3 linked regions of the Lonchura striata genome follow. Each later gene encodes a partner of the first gene's protein in a complex. Links are inferred from orthologs where the notes say so. Each region holds a gene or a part of one and is shown on either strand. Other genes may lie near its edges. The genes, in order: GINS4, CDC45 and GINS2.

Evidence for each region.
Region 2: GINS4 (region 1) and CDC45 share a complex: the UniProt entries of both Homo sapiens proteins name them as parts of the CMG helicase complex. The link is inferred for Lonchura striata from reciprocal best matches to the Homo sapiens genes GINS4 and CDC45.
Region 3: the proteins of GINS4 (region 1) and GINS2 are in contact, whole or in part, in a crystal structure (PDB 2E9X), measured with the Homo sapiens proteins. The link is inferred for Lonchura striata from reciprocal best matches to the Homo sapiens genes GINS4 and GINS2. Residues at the interface, in NP_115712.1 of Homo sapiens: Pro23, Ala24, Ile27, Glu28, Glu31, Trp34, Met35, Lys38, Phe39, Gln57, Met61, Leu73, Lys74, Ser76, Ile77, His78, Met80, Glu81, Arg84, Ile85, Tyr87, Val88, Ser91, Asp166, Asp168, Ser169, Tyr170, Val171, Phe172, Val184; in NP_057179.1 of Homo sapiens: Met1, Glu5, Phe8, Leu9, Glu11, Lys12, Phe21, Leu23, Asp24, Lys25, Ile26, Tyr27, Leu28, Ile29, Gly30, Trp47, Leu48, Asn51, Leu52, Arg55, Lys57, Phe135, Gln139, Glu140, Ala141, His142, Ala143, Lys144, Leu145, Asp146.

Annotation. Positions count from the first base shown.
Region 1 is NC_134634.1:4,771,173-4,778,748, reverse strand, and holds GINS4 (DNA replication complex GINS protein SLD5), read right to left. Parts: upstream 2,934-7,576; 5' UTR 2,906-2,933; coding exon 2,780-2,905; intron 2,617-2,779; coding exon 2,530-2,616; intron 2,238-2,529; coding exon 2,124-2,237; intron 1,681-2,123; coding exon 1,583-1,680; intron 1,262-1,582; coding exon 1,173-1,261; intron 834-1,172; coding exon 743-833; intron 654-742; coding exon 557-653; downstream 1-556. Other genes in the region: GOLGA7 (golgin subfamily A member 7), read right to left, coding at 5,626-5,673, 6,709-6,810, 7,083-7,235. UniProt on the Homo sapiens protein: Required for correct functioning of the GINS complex, a complex that plays an essential role in the initiation of DNA replication, and progression of DNA replication forks.
Region 2 is NC_134620.1:7,541,736-7,549,630, reverse strand, and holds the start of CDC45 (cell division control protein 45 homolog), read right to left. Parts: upstream 3,003-7,895; 5' UTR 2,940-3,002; coding exon 2,889-2,939; intron 1,687-2,888; coding exon 1,627-1,686; intron 1,330-1,626; coding exon 1,237-1,329; intron 820-1,236; coding exon 682-819; intron 98-681; coding exon 1-97. Other genes in the region: UFD1 (ubiquitin recognition factor in ER-associated degradation protein 1), read left to right, coding at 3,534-3,536, 3,675-3,807, 4,492-4,524, 4,916-5,037, 5,347-5,477, 5,873-5,945, 6,428-6,496, 7,017-7,082 and 2 more. UniProt on the Homo sapiens protein: Required for initiation of chromosomal DNA replication. Core component of CDC45-MCM-GINS (CMG) helicase, the molecular machine that unwinds template DNA during replication, and around which the replisome is built.
Region 3 is NC_134615.1:21,515,862-21,523,875, forward strand, and holds the start of GINS2 (DNA replication complex GINS protein PSF2), read left to right. Parts: upstream 1-5,009; 5' UTR 5,010-5,236; coding exon 5,237-5,326; intron 5,327-6,018; coding exon 6,019-6,133; intron 6,134-6,762; coding exon 6,763-6,862; intron 6,863-7,876; coding exon 7,877-8,003; intron 8,004-8,014. UniProt on the Homo sapiens protein: Required for correct functioning of the GINS complex, a complex that plays an essential role in the initiation of DNA replication, and progression of DNA replication forks.

The sequences.
Region 1 (7,576 bases):
ACTTCCCTTAGCAGTGGCTTCTGCAGAAGGGAGTCTGACAGTGTCTATTCTCAAAAATGCAACCTGAAGCTGCACCAGAACCCATCACCCTCTGCATGGAGGGTATTCAGATGACACACAGCAGAAACTACTTTTTCCTGAGCCAAGACCACAGTTGTTCCATTTTAGTGATGCCACCGGCCACTGCTCTTAAACAAAGCATCCCAGAAGCTACACACTGAAGCTTTCCCGACACTGCCCTGTGACACAGCCTGCTCTCACACAGGAATGCCAGAGGAAGGACTCTATGGCTGTATGCTGGCCATGTCACAAGCAATCAGGAACTGGATGAGCTGTGGGGGTAATGAATGCCTCTGCAGTACAACACTGTGGTGCTCACCTGCAGTGCCACTGTGCTCTGCCTGCCATGGCAGTGGGGCCCTGGCCCTAGGAGGGGACCCAGCCCCAGAGGGGATCTGGCCCAGTCAGCCCCACTGGGAGCTCCTGCCAGCCCACTGTGGGGTGGGCAGGGAGATGGCGTGGTAGCTGCTCCTCCCACCACACACTTACCTCTCCCCTAGATGAGCTGCACGGCTCCTGAGGCCACCAGAGGGGCCACGGTCCTGTAGCGGATCAGGTGCTGCGAGCCCTCCTCCAGGTTGATGGCATATTCCCTGCAGAGACAGGGGGAACGTGAGCTGCAGCACACGCCCATCAGTGACACTGACTGACACCTGTGCCATGTGCAGAAATGCCCACCTACCTCTGCTCATCAGTCTCTGGCTCCACTAGTATGTTCTCCTGCCGCTCCAGCACCCTCAGAAACACAAAGGAGTCCAGGTTGGGCTTTGGAACTGCAGACAACAGATTGAGAGCACATGCTCAGCCCCCACTTATGTTCCTCTGCAGAACACTGAGGGGTCTGACATGTAACAAACTTATAGCCAGCAAAGGGAACACCAGACTCTTCTAACCAGATGTGTGTGCTCAGCCTCAGTGCAAGACAGGACTTGACAGCAGGGGCCAGCACAATCCCCTGGCAGAAGCATGGAACCATGTTACAACATCACCTTTGCTTCAACTGAGCAGCAAGCAGAGGACTAGCCCTCACATTTGGGGCTCCCTGGAGCTTCCCCCACACTCCTGCCTGGTTCTACAATTTCCAGATTACCCTGGAGTCTGGAGAGACTCACCTGACTTTAGGAGAGACACTTTCTGCAGGTTAGGTGGCATGTGCTTTAGGGCCACATTTTTCAGGTAAGCCTCTGTGTTTGCCATATACCTGAAACAAACCATTGAAGTATTGAGTTGGTTAATCAAATACAAATCTGCAGGGAGAGTATTGACTCAAAACAAGAATGACAGCTCCTCATCCCATGGGCACAGCCAAAGACAGGCCCCTGACAGACCCTGGTAACTGACTCAAAGTTACCAGAGTTATTTTCAGTTCCTTTCTTGCCCACAAAGAAATCTCCTGGTAAGACACACTGATTCTTACTTCAAACCTATCCAAGGCTCACAGTCTCAAGAACGTCATCAAAACACAAAAGTAAGTTTCTATAATCTATAAAAGGGGAGGAAGATACATTGAAAACCTACTCACTCTTTAGCAAAAGCAAACTCCTCTGGTGATAAAATGGAAGGCTCCCCTTCAGCTCGAGACTTCTCCTTCTCCAGGATGTGGGGAAAAAACTTCTCTATCTAATATTGAAACACAATCCAAAAGAATGATACAGATCTCTCCCACGAGTTCAGTGTTTAAAGCCCCGCTCTCCACTGTAGGAGCAGCAGCAGGCCTGCCCAAATCCCTGCTCCTGAGGTAACTGGGACATCACATGGGATCACCAAGCTATACAACCATGTGTGCACACAGCAGGACTCGGGCAGAATGGGACAGCATTCAGCTGTGCCACCCCAGGCTTAGATGAACCAAGCAGCACTCACAATATTGTGATCAACACTGCTGTGACCTCCTTCATTACAATACGAAAGTGTGCCCAAGAAATTAATATGAGTTGCATTTCAGAGAACAGAGAGAGAACATGCTTTAATTAAATGCTGTGCTGAGGCAGGAAGCCCCGTGTAGGCAAAAAACCCTCTTGAAATTACCTTTTTTACCCTCTGGGCTGCGCAATAAGCATTACCTTCACCAGTCGACACCGCAGGTAGCTGCTGAGCACGTAACGTATCCTCTCGATCTCCATGTGATGAACACTGACCTTCAGGTCTCCTCTCTTCACCCGTTTCAGGTTTGCTTCCTACAAGAAAAAGCAACGAGAAATTATATAGTTGAAACGTCAAACAAGACAAAAGAGAGGAAGCCACGTTTTGTATATAGAACCCACAAAACCAGACTATGGCTGCTTTTGATAACCCAAAACATGCTGCCTCCTCGTACTTTAGCCCTTTGCAAGGCAAGCTCAAAGAAGAAACTCGGAGAAGATCTGCCTCGGAGCCAGGGAAGCCCGGCACTCTCAAAGAGAGTCAGGCATGTTCGTGCCAAGCCAGGCAACCAGGGCCTGCCCGCACCACCCGAGCCCCAGAACCCACCATATGGTCCAGCTGCTCCACCACGCACTCGATGATTTCAGGTTTACTCTCCAGCAGTTCTGGAGCAAACTTCTCATTCAGCCAGGCCTGAAAGAAGGCACGCTGTCAGTGAAAGCGAGCAAAACCTCAGCTGCACTCCCGCAGCGAGAGGAGCAAACACGGCCACGGCCCCGCCGCTCGGCATCTGCTCCAGCGCGCCCGGCAACCCCCGCTTTCCCCCGGCCCGAGCCCGTCGCGCTAGCCCGGGGACCTGCTCCAGGCTGTGGATCAGCTGTGCCGGGGTCAGCACCAGCTCCTCACTGTCGCCGTCCGAGTCGCCGCCGGCCGCTGCCGCCATCGCTCCCGCCATCGCTCCGCCGGTCCGCCCACGGCGCATGCGCGCCGCCCGGGCCCACGCATGGGGAATCACGCTGCGGCCGCCGCGCCTCCGGCCAATCGGGAGGCGGATTGAAACAGCAATCTTCTTTGGCCAATCAAGATGCAGATTGAATGTGCTGCTTCTGCGGCCAACCACGAGGCGGAAGCGGAGCTTTTTCGACCAATCACGATGCGTCTCCTGGCTTCGAGCTTTTTCGACCAATCAGGAAGCGGATGCAGCTTTTTTGGAAGTCAGGCTTTAGATCAGGCTGGAGGGGCTTCCACCAATCAGAGAGCAGCGTCAAGCTGCAACTTCTGGGCCAATGAATAGCCGGAGAGACGTTTCAGCTGTTCCAGCCAATTAGCGCTCAGCTGCAGCCATTCCAGCCGATCAGAGATCAGCTACAACTGTTCCAGCCAATCAGGCCTCAGGGGGTTTGGCAGCCCCGGCCCCAAAGCCCGGGCCCCGGCGGCTACCGGCCCGCCTGCGGGTGGAGCCCCGGGCCCGGACACGGCCCTGGCGGCCACTGCCCCGGTTGCGGGCGGAGCCCCGGGCCCGGACACGGCCCCAGCGGCCACTGCCCCGGTTGCGGGCGGAGCCCCGGGCCCGGACACGGCCCATCCCCGCAGCGCTGCAGCTCTGGCCGCTCCCAGCCCCGCGCTCCGCCACACTGTGCCCCTCGCCACTGAACACACCTGGACACAGTTTAAGAAAAGGTTTACTGATCCATCAGTACTTCTGCCAATATTGCAACAGCTGTGAAAGGCAAACACTGTTACAGTTTAGAAAAAACAAATTTATACAATGAAAATATTCATCAAATCTCAACTCCCCAGTGGCTGAGGAATGAGCCTGGAGTTCCATATCCAGTATTAGCACCTGCAGCACCACCAACAACCAACCCAGCCCCACCACTCCTGCTAAGTGTCTCTTCTGAACTCCTGAGTTCCTTCCACAACTGGACACTGACACTCGGCCCTACACCAAGACACCTGGGCTTTGACACAGGAAAAGGATGTGAGAGAAAGGATTCAGCTTGGACTGTGCAGGTACTGCTGAGCAATGCACGGGGACGCTAAGGAATGCACAGCTCAACTCCTCAATGTGTGCCAGAGACAGAATTAAGAAATCCATCTTACACAGTATCTTACAGTTCATCAAATCAATGTTTTCCTATAAACTATATATAAGGAATCCATCAAGAAACAGTTTTACACTTCACATATTAATCAGAGAAGGGTGGGAATCATTATTTTTATTGGCTCAGCATCCACTTTACTGTGCTTGCTGTTTCATCACTGACCAGGCCCCTCTTGGTGAGCACTGATGGGGCCAACACCACCACAGACACAGGGGCAGAAAAACCACCAGGGCTAAAGTCTGGCTACAACCCCCTCCCCCCAGGGATAACCAAGACCTTAACTCAAGGAGCACTCTGCCTTTTGGTTTTCCACAAGGATCAGCACAAGAGACGTTGCCTTGAGTCACTCCTCACTGGGAAGAGGCACTGTGTATCTCTGCACTCCTACACTGAACTGGAGGGAAATTCCTAATTTTGAGCTGGAGCTTTCCAAAGCCCAACTGATACATAGAAGGGTTTAAGAACCAGGGATGAACAGCACTGTACTTACAGGACTAAAACTAAACCTCTGTTGGGCTGAGAGCCCATTTCTTTCAGAAGAGAACACAGCTTTACCACTCTGCCTTTTCTTGAGAAAAAAAAAAAAAAAACAAAAAACTAAAAAGTGATCCTGTTGCTTCCAAATCTACTGCAAAGTGGATGCTGACCAGCTAGGTCACCCCCTGGGGAGCAGTTTGAGGAAGTTAGTCCTTGTAGTAGATGGCACTGTGGATCTGGCAGCAGAGAAAGGAATGATGCTCTAAAGTAGGAGGTAGGGGAACCTTGGTACAGCAAGTCCACCGATGAGCTGTCATCTAGAAAAGAAGTTTCATAGGGTTAGAAACTCCTAACTCAAACCAAAAGCTACCCTACACAAACCTTTCTACAGGTGCAGCAAGAATGTGGCAAGAGTTACCATGTGTTGTGGTGAGCAGAATCCAGAACTCATTTCATTTGTCCAAACAAAAAATAAAGACCTTTACTATTTGTTTCTTTTTGCAAAACAGGCATAAATGTTTCCCATTCTTTTCTGTATATACTGCTAACAATCTGAATGTAACACTCCCATCCCAATACCTGCAGAGCACCCAGCACAAGGGAACCAGTGCCAATGCCAGCTGTCCAAAAGCAAAGTCACAGAAAGCAATTTTCGTGGTCTGCACTGGATATTTGTGACTCGCCCCACAGCACCAAGAGAACTGAGAGCTCTCAGCAGAGCTTTTCAAGGCTGCTGGGCCCTCCTACCGCAAAGCATCACAAGTAAAGACATCAGCATGGTAACCAGAACAGCAGCCAGCTAAAAAACTGCAGCAAAAAGGCTCTGTATGCTAAAGTACACTCAGGGACAGAGTCCATTTTTTACTGACCCGAGAAGAATTTTGGACATAATACAGTACAAGTTAGCATATTTACACAATCAAGACTCCAATTTCTTCAACCCAGTACTGATATTTTTACTTCTAAGAAGAGCTGGTCCACACAGGCTTTATGTGAACAGTCTTTGATAACTACAAGGGTGGGATAAACTCCCAGCATGACAGCACCCAATCCTCTGAGCACAAAAAGATGTTGAGATTGATCTGAGATACAGGTAACATGTACCTAAAACTCCACAGTTTTATCTTCCACTGGTCAAACCTCTGTCTTCATAAATGGTAATTTCAATCTGCACAGAAAAGCTGTTAAGGAAATACACTATAAAGAGACTATGAAAACATACCCGGAAAAAGGCAGAAAAACATTAAGATGATGGGACTTTGATATCTGAGCTGTTTAAAGGCAGGTCCCAGAGCTCCAAAGCAAAAGGAACAGCCTATGTGAGATGCCTCATCAGGTAAGAGCACGGGCTCCCAGCCCAGGGCCTGCGCAGGAACTCATGGGGAAGGCTGTGCGCCGAGCAAAAAAAGTTAATACTGCTAATAAGTCACCTACCAAACTGAAAATGCTTTTACTCAAATTGAATGTTGGTTGTTTTTTTTTTCTTTCCAGAAGGTGTATACACAATGGAAAAACACACTGAGAAAAAAGAAGTCATGTAGGTGACAGCTCTGAGCTACATGGACAAGGACACAGAAAACCCAACTTCAACGAATTAGCCTCATCATACATTCAATTGGCATTGGGTTTCAAGTTACTGTGGTTTCAAGATTTTCAAAGAAAGCTGTGTTACTCATTATACTTCCCCATTTGCTATGAGAGGTCTTTACAACTTCAGGCAATAACCACACAAAATGTCTTCAGTGTGGCTCAACGGCTGAAGAAAAAGGGTTGAAATAAGCCATACTGGAAGCAAGAGCAAGTGCCAGGCTTGCAGTGATGTTGTATGTCAAGATCTTCACCAAAACCTCAGCTGAGGGTTGCACATTAAGTAAATTGATGTTATCACATCCATTTCTGTCCTACCAACATGGTCACTTCTTTCCCCAGTCAGAAAAACAGCATTTCTGGACATTACTGGAATAGAGGCAGGATCCTGAGCGCTCTTTCCAGGCAGGCACAAAGGTTGGGTTCCACATCTTTATGGGCTTTGCACGCACCAAACCTTAACATACTAAAACCTGACTAGGGACCAGGACACAACAAAAAGCAACAAGATTAATCACCCATTCTGTATCACAGATCGAGCATGAGCAGAGGTGCCTCACTGAGACAAACGAGGAGCACAAGGCAGGAGACAATGTCAGAAACCAGAGAAGGATACAACTCTTAATCCTCTTTCAATGGGGTCTGTCAGCAGAAGGCCCTGAGGAGCATAGATCTTCTCATTCTGTTCCTGAATGAACTTAGCAATTTTCTTTAGAACCTGGCAATGAAACAGCACAGAAGTCACAACTGTTTCCTTTCAAACAGTATCACAGCTACGGCAAGGTGAGAACTGACACACAACTGCTCTGATGGCTCGACAGTGCAGGCACTTGCCTGGATTCAGGGTGCCCCCCATGGGACCCAAAGTGACCAGTACCAGCACGCCTGAGTTACATCCATACAGCATCTGCACCAGAACATTGCAAGTCACAGGAAACCCACCAGGACCCAAGTTCTTGCCTGCAGGATGAAAGGGAAACAAGCATTTACCTTTTCATAGTGTGTCTCCATGCACAGGAAGATGGTGTAGGCAGTCAGGCAGGCGAGACAGCCTTCCAGGTAAGATTGGCCCCCAAGTTTTTCAGCTTCTGCATAGAGGTTGTTCAGTGTCCGGACTGTCTCCTCAAACTGCTGCCTGTCAATCTGCAAGAAAAGCAAGTGGGGCTGTCAGGTGCACACTGCAGAACTCACCAGTAGCCTTGTACATCCACCTCCACTCAGGGATCATCTGCACTGCACTCAGAGCCGCAGCCTGGAGCACGCAGAGTTACACACCTGCAGCTCTTTGTCAGACACCTTCCTGTGCTCAGGCTGAGTCCGAGTCAAACACAACGTGGACACAAAACCATTCAGAGCAACACTCCTAAGCTAATGTGCAATTCAGCTGTGAAACAACCGGAATTCACACCCAGGGATGTGATGGGTTAAAATGAACAGGCGAGCGTGGAGGGACACTCCACACCCTCAGTGCCTCGGTGCTGCTG
Region 2 (7,895 bases), on another chromosome or scaffold:
CATTCTCTGAGTCCTCTTCCTCCTCCTCCTCATCTCTGAAGATGTCATCATAAGCAGGAATATCGAGATCATCATCTTGCTTGACTAACAGCTTAATCTAGCAAGGAGAAAACTGTATTTTAGAGTAAGTATCTTATTTAGTGAGCAAAATGCAATCTTACTTAGAAAAGAAACCAAAAATTCATTTAGGCTGTATTAATTCCTGGCATAACAAAACTTTGGTTTTTAATGCAACTCCCGTACTGATTTATAGAAAATAAGAGTAAAAATCTATATTCCATTATTAGAGCATTACTGAAAAAATTATCATTTTAATGCTTGTTAAAATAAAATAATTTATGCTTAATACTTAAAATTCTAGGTGCTGCCAGATGCTGAGAAATAATACACGTTACATTCTGGAGGGATGTTTATCCTCTGATTTATGGCAGTTTGATTTATAGCAACAACATTAACAGGTGCTTACTACTGACAACTACCACATTGCTAACTTTAGACATTTCACTAGTGGAAAAATGATTTTTTTTCTGGTCATGTACATTACTACTGCAAATATTTATTTATTAATGCTGCTTTCTGACCTACAAGCTAATTTCTAACCAGTTTTGCAAGCACAGAAAAGCACTACACTGCTCACCACCACACTGTGGGGAGGCTTTTATTATGGAAGCAAAGTTTTACCTGGGTGTCATTGTAAACATTCACTACATTGATCGGTCTGTGACTGTCACATACAAAAAAAAAAGTGTCTTCTTCAGGCTGCAAGATTTCCAGGAGGTCTACATTAGCACCACAATTAATAAGAACAAAGTATTTGAACTGCAAACAAAAGCAGAAAAAGAAAAGAAGCTCATTACTTAAATTGCCAGAAAACATGGAAAACTGAAAATATGCTTACAAAACCCACAGAGCACTCATCATTGCCAAAACTTCTGTTTATTTTCTAATATTTGATGCCTCTGAGGCAGATTTTTTTTTAAAGCAAAACACAAAAACCTGCACCTTTTTATCTCAAAATGTGTGCAAACTCCATTTGACTCTATCAACACTACAGCACATTTGTGATGTTAAAAACTTGACAAGTTTATTGTTGGTATGTTAAAATGTAACGAGCTTTAAGAAACCATAACAATAATAACAATAAGTTAAGGGTTGACATTCTAAATTGGGAAAGGAAAGCAGTTTATCTTTACAAAAGATGAGCTACAGCCCAAAAATTTTCCAGTATTTTTTCACCTGATCTTTATGCTCCAGAAAGGCAGTTTCAAGCTCTTGCCACCCAGCCACTGGCACGAGTGTGTATTGCACGTGGTCACACTGAAACAAAGCCTGCAAGGAAGCAACAGCTGTGAGCAGAGGGGAGGGGAAACAGCCTCTCTTACAATGCTACACCAGGCTGAGTCTATTCTATACAAACCCTTAAAATAAAACCACCCCAAATGACAAATCTATATGAGCTCTGAGATTATGACTCCCCAGTTTTCAGTGCCATAACTCATGGAAACCAATGTTACAAAAGCAGATTAAAGCTTCCCCCTCTCCTTAGTTCACACCCATGTATAGGATCCTAGGGCATACATATTTTCTCATACTGTCAGCTTGCAGTGATAATGAACCAAGACTTACTTGGAGTATTTTACAAGCACATAATGCATCAACATCTGAAGCAACAAGAAGAAGAACACGCTGTAAAAATAACAAAATAATAGTATGAATAGGTGCCAAATAGACCATGCTGGTACATGAAATCCATGGAACACTGAGACACCAGAAATTCAGATAGAAATCATCACAAGCATAAAACAAGATTGCTTCTGAATGGACCTGCAACCAAAATTTGGATATCTGTCAATATTAAAAACAAGCAACTCCACCTATACCCAAAATGTGTCAGCTCCTTTAGGGATAGGTAATTACTGTTTCCTCTGGACCTCACATACTTCCACAGTTTCACACCTAGTCAAGCCCTACAATTATTTTCATAGTGTTTAGAATGGCCTTCGTTTTCAGCAGATTTGCAACAGTTTTAACTAAAAAAATCTGTAGCAAAAGCAAGGCAACTAGGGAAATAAATTCATTTAAATCAAGGTTGGCTGGTATTTTTTTGGGGGCGGCAGGGAGAGGGTTGGTTGGTTGGTTTTTTGTTTGTTTTGTGAGAGTGTTGTTTTAGGTCTTCAGGGAAGAGTGTTTTGACGTTTTGCTCAGCTGGAGAAATTAAGACAAATGCTTTCATTTGCACAGTCCATAATATCATTTCCTTGGTAGAAATGTTAAAAGACTGTCCAATAAAAGCTTCACCACCTTACCACAGTGAAAGGAGTTAACCAAGCCCTGCAAAAATACAAGCAGCAAACAAATGTGCTACAAGATTGCAGGAAAAACATTAAAGATAACAGAAAACAGTATTTAGTGTCTGGGCAAATAACATCAAAATGGTTATAAAGATATTTTTTTAAATGGTTCAGCGATGTCATGGTTAAGCCTGAGATCCAGAGCACACAAGAACACTTTTGCGGAAGGAGGCGAACCCTGAGTGAAATCCCCGGCAAAACCTCATCACGCTGACGCTGCTTTGTCCAGGGTTCCCAAGGTAGGGAAGGGGAAAACACCCGGGAAAGGGATTTTAACCACCCGGCTGACAGCCGGACCCGCCGCCCTCAGCGCGGCCGCCCGGCCGGTGCTCCCCGCCACCGACCCCCGCTCTGCGGCCCCAGAGCGAGACCACCGCCGCCCCGGAGCACCGCAGCGCCTCAGTCACCGCGGGCACCGACCCTGCGCCGTGAGGCGGCCAGAACACAGAGCGGGGAGAGCCCCAGGGGAGGCGGCCCCGCCCGCCGCCGGGGCGCCCCGGGAGCCACTCCGGCCCGGTCCCGGCGCGCTGCCCGCACCTGGGTGGCGATCAGGTCGTAGAACTCGCGGCGGCAGTCGGAGACGAACATGGCGGGAACGGGAGCGCGGCGGGAACGGGCGGCAGCCGCGGGCCGCGCCGCTCAAACTGAGCGCCAAACCAGCGCCGCCTCTCATTGGTCCGCGCCTCACGCAGCGCTGGCCAATAGGAACGCGCCCACCCCGCCTCTGCAGAGCGAGATGCCAAGTCCTTTCCTGGGCCTCGCCAATGGAATGCGGAGAATGCGGTGACGATACTCGCTGCTGACCAATCCCAAGAGGGCCTTGGCCGGAAGCACCCTGGCCTGGTCTTGTCGCTGTGTCCGCCATCTTTTCTGAGGGCAAGTTGTAAGCTTTGCCATTAAAGGGAGCTCGGAGAAGGGGCAGCAGGGCCGCATCAACACCCAGTGACCGAAGAGAAGCCTAGCGAGCAGAAGAGACTCCTGACGATGATCGCGTCGGAGGGCGCGAGGGCCCATCTTCCGCCCTCACCCGCAATGGCCGCCCGAGTGGGCGGCGCCGCGCGGCACGCTGGGAGGGGCGGGGCCTGGGTGGGGCCCGGCACGGCCCGTGAGGGGAACGAGCGGCGCTGGCCCGGCCCGGCCCGGCCCGGCGGCCCCGAGGGAGCGCCCGCCGCCGCCGCCGCCATGGTGAGAGCGGGGGGCGGCCGGGAGGGGCCGCGTCACGGCGGCGACACTGCAGGAGCCCTCAGTGGGTGCTGTGTCGCTTTGTGTGCTCTAGATACTGATGATTGCGTTCTTCTCTGTGTGTTGTTTTTCCCCCTCTAGTTCTCTTTTAATATGTTTGACCACCCCATTCCCCGGGTGTTCCAGAACCGTTTTTCAACCCAGTACCGCTGCTTCTCGGTATCCATGCTTGCCGGACCTAATGACAGGTCAGATGTGGAGAAAGGCGGGAAGAGTATGTGCATGTTTTATTTTGACTAATAAACTGTTAGAAGAGTGTTTTTGAATAGTTTCAAGTCTTGCAGCTTTTGGCCAAGGCAGCAGGAATATTGAAAACACGGTGACAGAGTGCTGAGCACCCTGGGCTGGGTTTGAGGAAGGAGGAGGGGTCATGTGCCATGCATTACTCGGTAACTAAAAATGATTACCGACTCGGGGTTTATGAGTATCAGAAGGAACAGACTTCATCTACAAAATTTCTTCTTAAAATCTTGTATCTAGTGTGAGCCATGGAAGTTTATGATTGAGGAGTTTCTCCCCTGCACCATGTTGTGCTTTTTAATTTGTATAAAGAAAGTCACTTAGTTTTCAAGGTGTCAGACTAATGCTATGTTGTTTTGAGTTGGGAGCCCTAACGAATAAAATTAGCTTTGGGAAAGTAATTCTTTAATAATAATATTGTAAAACCTTGTCTTCTCTTTTGTTTTTTCCCTGATTGTAATTCTGAAATATCCACATTGCAGGGATATTTGTCATGACTCATTCTACTGAACTCTCTGTCTAAAAAATAAATTTGAAGATTGTAGAATCTGCCCTTTTTTTAAAAGAGATTTTAGAGAAAGGAAGGATAAAATTGTGTGTTATGTACTCTTATACAGATGTACTTTTCCTAATTTCACATTCTTATTCATTTCTGCAGTAATTATGCCACCATCAGCTTTGGATCAACTCAGTAAGTGAATGCATTATTCTGGAATAACAATATTAGAAATAGGAGCAAATGTGTAGGCAAATACCACAGTATTTTACTTATTTATTTAAGTCTTAAATCAGTACTGTGAGAATAATTAGTTTAAGAAATGTATTTTAAAGGTATTTTTTCTGTCAGAATTCATGGGGCTTTTCTGCCTTCAAGCACAGACATATGAAATATTGGCCTCCCTGAGCATTTAAAGTTCTGAGTGCCGTGCCAACACTGGAGTTGTACATCTGCTTTCTCTGGTATTTTGAGCAGTTGGGATATTGGTGCGAGGGGCCCATTCTCTTGGTGATTGATCTCTGAAAGCTTCAGAGCTTTCAGAGGGGCTTTTAACAAAGCAAACTTTTTTCTCCTTTCTTACTAGGCCGCCTTAATATTACTTACCCCATGCTGTTCAAGCTGACCAACAAGAACTCAGACAGAATGACTCACTGTGGAGTGCTTGAGTTTGTGGCTGACGAGGGCATCTGTTACCTTCCACACTGGGTGAGCTGCCTCATGCTGGACTGTCAGAACCTGAAAAGTAGGATTAGGGAGTTGCCAGGCTTAATATTAAGGATGTGAATGTTTCCTGACAGTGCCTGTCTCTGCTGGTTGTGTTCCTACAACAGCCTTCAGTTCTGGCTCAGGCTTCCTTCTGCAGAAGTTTAACTTAGCAAAGCAGACTGCTTTTAACGTTCACCTGACTGTTTTTCCTGAAATTGAATATACACAAGAGCTGATATACACAGGAGAGAGATTTGAAAATATCAGACACGTTGATAGGGCTGTGTGTGTTTGTCTCCATTCTTGCAGATGATGCAGAATTTGCTGCTGGAAGAAGGAGGCCTGGTGCAAGTGGAGAGTGTGAATCTGCAAGTTGCTACTTACTCAAAATTTCAGCCACAAAGTCCAGATTTTCTTGACATCACCAATCCCAAAGCTGTGTATCCTTCCTATTAAATTATGGAATAAAGGAGAAAAAATTTGCTTCCAAATTGGAATGATGAAACAGAGCGAGCTTGTCTTACGTGGCTCATACACTTCCAGTAGTACATGGCCACTGCTGCCCCTTCTGAAAACAAAAGGGATGCAGAGCTGATGTACAGAGATGTGGTCAACTGTTGGAACAAAGTGTGGTCTGAAGAAGGAGGAGTGTTGGCTTAAAATCTAATGAGTTTTGAGTCCCCCTTTGAAGAATTTATATATCCTAAAATCCTATATGCACTGATGGCTTTTAAACCATGTTTGAGAAACTAAGGATTAGTGATCTACAGTATGGTGATTTTAAGGCTTTGATATTTCACTGAAAATAAATATTTCATCTTAACATACTGCAAAGACTGGAAAATGCATTGAGGAACTTCGCCTGTCTAACTACTGGGGATGTGATTGCCATCAACTACAATGAAAAGGTACAGTGTAAGGTTGAGGGTTGTAGACTACTATTAGTGTTGGATGTTGGTATTAAAACAATCAACTCAGAGCTATGCAGTGTTTTGGACAAGTAATCCCACGTGGCAGATTTCACAGTTGGCTTTCTGTTGGAGGGAAAAAGGAGTCAGCTAAGTCTTTTTCTGAGCTGCTGTTTAAATTTCTTTGGACTCACAAGAAAATAAATGTTTGTGCTGTTGAAGTTTTCACAAGTGAAGGGAAAGAATTTATCCTAAATTCAGAATTTGTTTTCAAAAATGGAGGTTAAAGTACAGTAAGAGTGCAGCAAGGTGCAGTAATGGGTTCTCTGGCTTCTAAAAACTTTTGCTTTTAAATTCTGTAGAGACCCTGCAATATTTATTCTTATCAACCTAAAGAGTACTTACTTCAGGTCTGGAGGGGAAGGTTTAGATATGCTTTCCTTACACATAATGCAATCTTGAAATATCTATGACTGTTTCAGATCTATGAGCTTCGGGTAATGGAGACCAAACCAGATAAGGCTGTGTCCATCATAGAGTGTGATATGAATGTAAGTTAAAGCTGATGGGGAAGGCCTGCCTTAACTGTCCTCCCAAGAGGGGAAGGCAGTGATAGCTCTGCACACCCAGCCCAGCTGATGCTGCAAGAAAGGTGCAATCCATGGGGTGGGGAAGATGACTCACTTGGGAGTACTCATGTGCCTTTGTAACCCCTTCTGTGATCCCGATTAGTACTTCATGCACCATCAGGTGACTACCATGCCTAGAATTTAATGTTTAACTTTGGCATGTTTTATCTGAGTTTTATTTAATAGCCTTGTCTTGACTCACACTCCAGTGATATTGTGGAGCTGTTTTACTGCTTTGTTTCCATTACATGCTAAGGTTAATTCCTAGTAGGCTTGGTCTTTTTTTAGTTCTGAGTTAAAATGTTTAACAACCAAACCTTAGTTCTTTTTAGCTCAAACGCAGTGGTAATAGTTCATGAAGTTTTGAGGAATAGTAGTATAAAGCTTATGATTTAATGAAAAATATTAATAATGGGTTTTTTCATGCTTCTTGTGTAAATAGGTGGATTTTGATGCTCCTTTGGGATACAAAGAACCAGAAAGAAGTGCACAACATGAAGAGACCGCAGTATGTTAAACTTTTGTTCTTCCAAAATGCATCCCCTAGAAGTCACTGTTGACTGTGGGGGAAGTGCCAACATAATTTTTTTTTTTTTATTTAAACAAGTTCTGTAGAGTAAATTTTACTTGCCAGAAGCCTTTGCATGTGTTACTTAGGGGACTGGTGTTTACCAACTGTTGTTTTAAGAAAGTGTCTTGGTTTGACAAGTGATTGTTCTGAAGTTTTGTTTGGCCAGAAATACTTGGAACAGTTTTCATGGCATGTGCATGTCAGAACACAAACAACATGAACTTGTTTTTCCCCTCACAGGATGTGGAAGCAGACCACAGTGGGTATGTGAGCGATATAGGATTTCGTGTAAGTGCCCTGTTTCTGCTGGTTTCTGAATCCTGTAAAATGGTGAGGGAAAGTTGTTCTGAACAACTGCAAAATATCAGTACCTGTTCTTATAGATGCTTGTTATTTAACTGGTAAGTGCCTGTGAATGTTTTGTGTCATCACAGCCAGGAGCAGCATGAATTGTTCTCTGCAAAGGGCAGATGAGAGGTTGAAACAGACTCCTACACCCATGATTCATCAGCTTATATGTACCAAAAAGAATCATGCTGAGTTAAATAACTAAATAAAAATTGCTGTAAGATTTTACAGATATAATGTCCTTGTGAAGTGTGCTTTCAAATGCCAGGAGTTCAATTAAAACTGATTATGTATCCACAGGCATTCTCTGGATCTGGGAACAGATTGGATGGCAAGAAGAAAGGTGTGGAGCCCAGTCCCTCACCAATTAAACCAGGAGACATCCGAAGGTATCATTCACTT
Region 3 (8,014 bases), on another chromosome or scaffold:
AAAGGGTGAGACCCCAGAGGATTAGATCCCAGGGGAGAGATCCCAGAGGATAAAATCCCAGAGGATTAGATCCCAAAGGATGAGATCCCAGAGGATCACATCCCAAAGGATCAGATCCCAGAGAATCAGACCCCAGAGGATCAAAGCCCAGAGGATCAGATCCCAGATGATCAGATCCCAAAGGATCAAATCCCACAGGATCAGATCCCAAAGGATCAAATCCCAGAGGATCAGACCCCAGAGGATCAGATCCCAAAGGATCAAATCCCAGAGGACACCCCCTGTGCACAGAGCTGGCTGTCCCCAGCATGACCCTCCTCTGCTGGTGTGCGAGCCACCAGCAGGTGCCAAAACCCACCAGATTTGCCTCAAAACAGATTTCCTGACATTTGGGCAGCCTCCAGGAGAGCTGCAAAGTGAGGTCCTGGGCAGGACTCCACTCCCCAGCCCTGAGGGGGGGTCACAGCTCAGGCTGCACCTGGGGAACTGATAAAAATGCAGAATTAAAAGCAGAGATAGCAAATTTTCACTTCCCCTTGCTGCCTGCTGCTGACCCACCTCAGGGCTTCCTGTGAAGGCAGAGGTCAGGCAGGGGAGCAGGGGCTTTCCTTGGCTCTCTGTGTGGCCCAGAGCTTGGAAGAGCCAAATGAGTCACTGACCCTCATCCCAAGAAGCTTTTCCCAGCAGCTGTGGGAGGAGGGGTGAAGATTTCCCAATAAAGGGGTGCTTTTCCGCAGAAAAATTGTCAGCATCTTGGAAAAAAACTGATGTCCCACAGTGGGAATTATCCATCTAAACACTCTGGGGACATCAGGGGTGCCCAAGAGGAGCGGGGTGATGTGAATTCCAGCAGTGCATCCCGGCAGCTGCTCCGGCTCAGCCCGAGGGAGGCAGCCCTGGGATCATCCCTCGGTTTCCTGTGCGTGGACTCGGGGTTTTCTCTGCAAGAACCCGTCCCAGTTCCTCCTGCTCCCAATCTCCTCATCCTGAAATATCTTCAGCCCAAACCCCAGGAGCGGAGAAGCTGGGATGGGACCGCTCACCCAGCAGCAGGTTCCTTCTCCACCCTCCCAAAAAGTTCTTCCTGGAGCTCGCGGGCCCAGGTTGAGTCGCTGAGGCGCCGTGACATCACCGGTGGTTTTGCGAGCGAGCAGCCGCGTTTCCTGTGGCTCTGGAGGCTCGCAGGGAGAGATGTGAGCTCTGGGCTCCTCTCCTTCCTCCCCCCCAGCACCGCTCCCCTCAGGCCTCTCCTCTCCTCCCCAGCGCCAGCGGCCAGGGCCGGCGGCGGAGCTGGAGAGCCGCGTCCCGCTGAGAGGATGAAAACATGGGGCTCAAGTTCTCCTGCCTGAAAGGTCAGTTTGGGATGGGCCTTCGGGCTGCTGCTGCTCCCCAGAGACACCTGGGGGATGGTGGCTCCCAGAGGAGATTTTGGTGTGGGTGGGAATTGGTGTGGTGGAATTTCTGACGTCTCACGGGCGACCTGTTGCGCCTGGATGGCCCCAAAGAGGATTTTCCCTGCTTTATTTTTTCCCTGCTTTATTTTTTCCCTGCTTTATTTTCCCTGCTTTATTTTCCCTGCACCTTTTGATCTGGAGAATCCAGGGGTTTCCTTGGAGGCAGGAAAGGGCTGCTCAGGGACACGTGGCTGGCATGCAGGGGTCAGCCCAGAGCTTGGGTTCCAGCTCCCGGCCTCCAGGCTGGCCCCAAATCATCCCTCACTGCTCCACCCTCCCCAGGGATGCTCCAACCAGGAGCTTCTTCCCCAACTTGAATTTTCTTAATGGATTTAGGCCGGGAATGGCGTCAGGGATGTCTGCGCAGGGGCAAAGTGGGAGCTTTTAGTGCTGCTGGCCTGGCAGGGCGAAGGCTGGATATGGCATCTCCCATTAGCTCTGCATCCCTCTGACTCCTGCTAATCATCCTCGGGGTCGTTAGGGATGGGGCTTAATGAGGATCCCTCTCCAGGATGCAGGGCCGCCTCTTCCCTGGCTTTTCCCAAGCCCAGACTCTCTGGGATTCTGGCTGTGATGGGCATAGAGCTGGATGCATCAGCCAAAAATGAGCTCTGCCCCCTCTCCACAACAGGGAGGCTGGGGGGATTTGGGGTCTCACAACCCCCCCTGTCCAACAAGGGGGAGTTGAAGAGGGGAAGCAAGCAGCCAAGGAATCCCAATCCTGCCCCAAATCCAGGACAGAGCCCCAAAATATTCCCCCATGCTTCCAGACCCCTCTGGTGAGCTTGGAGTCTGGAATAAAAGAAAAGACCCTCCCCCTTTTCCAGCTCCCTTACATAAGGCAGGGCTTTATCCTTAATTAAAAAGAGATTAAAAATATCAGTGTCTGTCCCCTCCAGGCATTTTCTTGCTTGGGAAGAGCTGAAACCTCCCTGGATGCAGCCTGTGCCGCACGGGGCTTTTCTCCTGATTAAAAAAGCAGATTAAAGCGATCTGCTCCCCTCAGGGCGGGTGGGCTGGGCTGGTGGTCGAGGGAGGGGTGGGATCCACCTCTGAAACCCCGCCAAAATCCAAGGTGGACGCAGGGGAGGAGATGTGAGGATGCTGTGGATTCTCCAGTGGCTCGTAAAGCGCTGACACCGAGGAGGGCAGGGAGCCGGGGGGATGCTGAACCCGATGCCTGATCTTTCTTTTATCCCCCAAATTTCCCCAGGCTTGAAGATGTGCGTGAGCAGCGGGAACGGCAGCGAGGGGACCCCAGCGGGACAGAAGCACCTGCACGTGCCCTCCATCATCGTCACGCCTCCCACGCCCACGGGGACCACGCTGTCCCGCGAGGGCCGGCGCGGGGAGAGCCCCTCGCCCTGCAGCCCGTGCTGAGAGGGGACACGGGGGGACCCCCAGCCCGGCAGGAGCTGTCCCCTCTCCTCGGGATGGAGCCCCCAGGCCACGGCCGGGCCGGACGAAGCTGCCAGGGACACGCGGGGCACCCACGCGGGTGGGTTTGGACAGCAGGGACCGGGGTTTGTCCCTTTTGCTATTCCCCCCACGGCGAATAAAAACCCGCACCCCCAGTTCGGCTGTGGCAGCACACGGGGGATGGGTTGTGCACCCCGAAACACGGCAGCATCGCCCCCACGGGGTCACCCCCGTGCCCGTGGGCGGGCAAAAGTGGGGCTCCACAGCTTTCCACGAGGGATTGAAGGATCCACTGCAGCAAACAGCAGCGGGATAATGAACTCGGCGTCGTCACCCCCATCCCGCCGGATCGGCCGCATCCCGGGAGGGAGCCGGGGGCGACGCTTCCCGGGGAGCGGCGGCACCGGAGCCGGCGGGAGAGGCGGGAGTGTGAAAGCAGATGGAAATTTCATTTTTTAATGACAGCAGCAGATGGCAAAAGACACGCCAGGGGAGGTGCAGCGTGGGGGAGACGTTCCCGGAGCGCCCAGCACGTGCCGGCGGCACCGGGGGCTGCTTTGGGGACCCTCCTCGGGGATTGGGGGTCCCCAAGGCTTGGCTCCCACCCCAGGGTGGGGGTAACGCTCATCCCAAGGGTGGTGGTTGCTCCACGGGTGATCCCAGGGTTGAGCCCAAGGTGGTTTGGGAGAGGGACTGGGGTGAAGTGGATTTGTCTGGTGTGGGGAAGTTCCATGGGGACTTGCAAATGGGATACAGCTCCCCCCAAATCATCCAGAAATCACTGGGATGAGCTGGGTGTGGGGAGGAGGATGGATGGATGGATGGATGGATGGATGGATGGATGGATGGATAGATGGATGAATAGATGGATGATGGATGGATGGATGATGGATGGATGGATGGATGGATGGATGGATGGACGGATGATGGATAGATGGATGGATGGATGGATGGATGGATGGATGGATGGATGGACGGATGGATGGATGGATGGATGATGGATGGATGGATGGATGGATGGATGGATGGATGGATGATGGATAGATGGATGGATGATGGGTGGATGGATGGATGATGGATGGATGGATGATGGATGGATGGATGGATGGATGGATGGATGGATGGATGGATGGATGGATGGGGAACAGAGAAAAGGGACAGGTGAGTGATGGCAGGTGCCGGAGCATGGGTGTCTGAACAGGGGCCACTGAACAGACAGACAGATGGGCAGATGCTGGGGCCTGAGCACCACCCAGGGACAGCCACGCCCAGTCCCTGTCACCCATGCCGGTCCCTGTCACCCATCCCGGTCCCTTTCACCCATCCCGGTCCCTGTCACCCATTCCGGTCCCTGTCACCCATCCCGGTCCCTGTCACCCATGCCGGTCCCTGTCACCCATCCCGGTCCCTTTCACCCATCCCGGTCCCTGTCACCCATTCCGGTCCCTGTCAACCATCCCGGTCCCTTTCACCCATCCCGGTCCCTTTCACCCATCCCGGTCCCTGTCACCCATGCCGGTCCCTGTCACCCATCCCGGTCCCTTTCACCCATCCCGGTCCCTGTCACCCATTCCGGTCCCTGTCACCCATCCCGGTCCCTTTCACCCATCCCGGCCCGGCGGTCGCGCGCGTTCCCGCGGGGCGCTGCCGCTCTCGGCCGCCAGGGGGCGGCAGTCGCGGGCGCCGCCACTCCCGCGGCGCCCCGGCAACAAGTGCCGCGCGCTGATTGGCCGAGCGCCCGCGGGGAGCGCCGCGATTGGTCCCCGTGCCCCCATCCGGACTTCCCCCGGCGGGGCAGCGGCCAGAGCGCGCCGCGCGCAGAGCAGCCAATCACAGAGGCGTGCGCCACGGCAACACAGCCAATCAGCGCGCGCCGCGCCGCGCCGGGCCCCGCCTTTCCCCGAAAACCGCGAAAATGAGACGGGAGGCGGGAAAGGGGAACGGGGGGCGGGGCCTGGGGCTGGGCGGCCAATGGGGAGCGAGGGCGGGAGAGGGCGGCCCGGCTCGGGCCCGGTGCGGGCCCGGTTCCGTCCCGGTACGATCCCGGTACGATCCCCGTCCAGTCCCGGTCCGCTCCCGGTGCGCTCCGGGTACGATCCCGGTCCGGTTCCGGTCTGCTCCCGGTGCGCTCCCGGTGCGGTCCGGGTACGATCCCGGTCCGGTCCCGGTCCGCTCCCGGTGCGCTCCCGGTACGATCTTGGTCCGGTCCCGGTGCAATCCCGGTCCGGTCCCGGTTTGATCCCGGCTGGATTCCGGTTCCATTCCGGTGCGATCCCGGTTCCATCCCGGTCCTGTTCCGGTTTGATCCCGGTCCGGTCCCGGTGCGATCCCGGTTTGATCCCGGTTCGGCTCCCCCCGGGCCCATGGAGCCGGCCGAGGTGGAGTTCCTGGCCGAGAAGGAGCTGGTGACGATCGTGCCCAACTTCAGCCTGGACCGGATTCACCTGATCGGGGTCGGCAGGGCCGGGGCTGGGAGGGGACCGGGACTGGGAGGGGACCGGGACTGGGACGGGACCGGGGCTGGGCAGGGACCGGGGCTGGGACGGGACCGGGGCTGGGAGGGCCTTGGGGGCAGGGATTGGGTCTGGGGAATGGGGTTGGAGGGATTGGGATTGGGGTGCGGGAGCTGGGGGGGTTAGGGTGGGTCTGGGATGTTTGGGAAGCTGGGGAGGAGACGGATTTGGGATGGATTTGGGATGGAGGGATTGGGGAATGACGGGCAGAGGGGGGACGGGGTTGGGAGGAGAGGCAGGGCAGCCCCCAGGAGGTTGGGGAGGGGGCTGTGCTGTCCCCCCACATCTCGGGGGGTCTGTGCAGCCCCCGAGCCCTGGTGGGGGTGTCCGGCTGTCCTGGGCGCTGGCCAGAACCTGGGGAGCCTCTGGGAGCTGCATGTCCAGGGAGGTGGAATTTGTAATTCCTGTGAAACCCCTTGGAATGAAAGGAAACTTTGGTTATTCCTTCTCCAGGGAGATGGGGGAGCTTCTGAGAGCAAGAATTCAGGGAAGTGGGAGGAGGAAATGCAGGATCAGATGTTTGTCCCAGGCTTTTCCAAATCCTCTGGAAACTCTGGCCACATTAGCAGGCAGGCTCTGTGCAGTCCAAGCTCTGGTTGGAGCCCGCCTCTCATCCTTAATTTGTTTTCCAGGGAGATCTGGGTCCCTTCAACCCTGGCTTGCCAGTGGAAGTGCCCGTGTGGCTGGCCATTAATCTGAAGCAGAGGCAGAAGTGTCGGCTCATTCCCCCGGAATGGATGGATGTTGGTGAGGATGGAGGCTCTGCCTTCAGCTCTGGCCTTCAGTGGGTGCAGTGGAAGCATGAAATTAAAAATAATCCGTTTTTCACCATTAGTGGGGAGCTTAATTGAAAAGCACAAGGCAGCTGGGAGAGATGGATCTCATGTCCCACCACTGGGATTTTCTTTACTCTCAGGGGGGTGAGGCTTGTTCAGAAGAAGCTTTAGGGACTTTGGGTCACAGAATCTCAGAATTTTTTAGGTTGGAAAAGATCTCCAACCTCACCAAGTCCAGCTTGTCCCCATCTTGTCACCAGCCCAGTGCACTGAGTGCCACCTCCAGGGATGGGACTCCAAAGCTCCCTGGGCAGCCCCTTGCAGTGTTTAACCACCCTTTCAGTCCAGGAATTCCTTCTGATGTCCAACCTGAACCTCCCCTGGCTAAATCTGAGGCTGTTTCCTCTCATCCTGGCACTAATTCTTGGGAAAATCCCTGTGAGGAGATAGGGATTTTGGTTGGATGGATGGATGGATCCTTGGAGGCATCCATGTCCCTTGTGTGCCTCCCGAGCTGATCCTACAGAAACAACGTGGCTTTTTCCTGGGGAGAGGGGGAAAAAACCACACAAAATCCGAGCATCCCTGGTTGCATTTTAGGGAAACTGGAGGAAATCCGGGATCAGGAGAGGAAAGAGGACACCTTCACTCCCATGCCCAGTCCCTACTACATGGAGCTGACCAAGCTGCTGCTGAACTAGTGAGTAGGAGCTGAGCTGGGCCGTTTTCCACCCCACTTGGTTGCGAGCACTGAGGATTTTTCAAGCTTTGCTTGGCAGCAGCCCCGCAGGGCGGTGGGGAAAAGGGAGAGTCGAGGGAGTTTCATCCCTCAGCCTTGCCAAGATTTCTCAGCAGCACTTCCCTGATGGTAACTCTGCCTCTCAGGAGCTTGGGGTGGCTCCTTGCGTGGCCTCCTTGTCGGGGCTGTGCAGTTTTAGGGAGCACAGCTCGGTGTGGAGGAGCCGCAGCACATTCCGGGCTGCAATCTGCAGGCTCCAGCCTCCTTCCCTGGCTCTCCTTCAGGAGGAAAGCTCCTCTCCCCTCAGCCTGGGGAGCAGGAGGCCAGGGAGATTCCCAGCCTGAGCTCCTGCCTGCTCAGGCATCTCACTTGTAAAACGTGCTGGCTGCTGTTTGTCTCAGCCAGGGCTCTGCTGGCTTCTTAAGCCCTTGATTAAGCAGGGTGGGTACTCCAGTTCTGGATTTTTGAGGCTCCTGGCAGGGTGGGCACTCCAGTTCTGGATTTTTGAGGCTCCTGGCAGGGTGGGCACTCCAGTTCTGGATTTTTGAGGCTCCTGGCAGGGTGGGCACTCCAGTTCTGGATTTTTGAGGCTCCTGGCAGGGTGGGCACTCCAGCTCTGGATTTTTGAGGCTCCTGGCAGGGTGAGCACTCCAGCTCTGGATTTTTGAGGCTCCTGGCAGGGTGGGCACTCCAGCTCTGAGAGGGAGAGAAATGTGCTTGCCACAGAACCCCATTCTAAAAAGCCCAAAATTCTACTTTTCCACCCTTTGTTAGTTCAACTATCACACCACTCAGACCCTTGTGGTTTGCAATTCCTCGTGTGGAGTTCGCAGCTTTTTCCACGGGCTAAAATCGAAGCCAGGGGTGTTTTTTGACCTCGTGCCAAGGTCTCTGAGCCCCCTGCCAGGGTCTGGAGGGATGTGCTGGGCTCTGCCACCTGCTCTGAACCCTTTCCCTTCCCTTTCCCCGTGCCAGTGCCTCTGACAACATCCCCAGAGCGGACGAGATCCGGACGCTGGTGAAGGACACGTGGGACACACGCGTGGCCAAGCTGCGCCTGTCCGCCGACAGCTTCGTGAGGCAGCAGGAGGCTCATGCCAAGGTGTGCCAGGA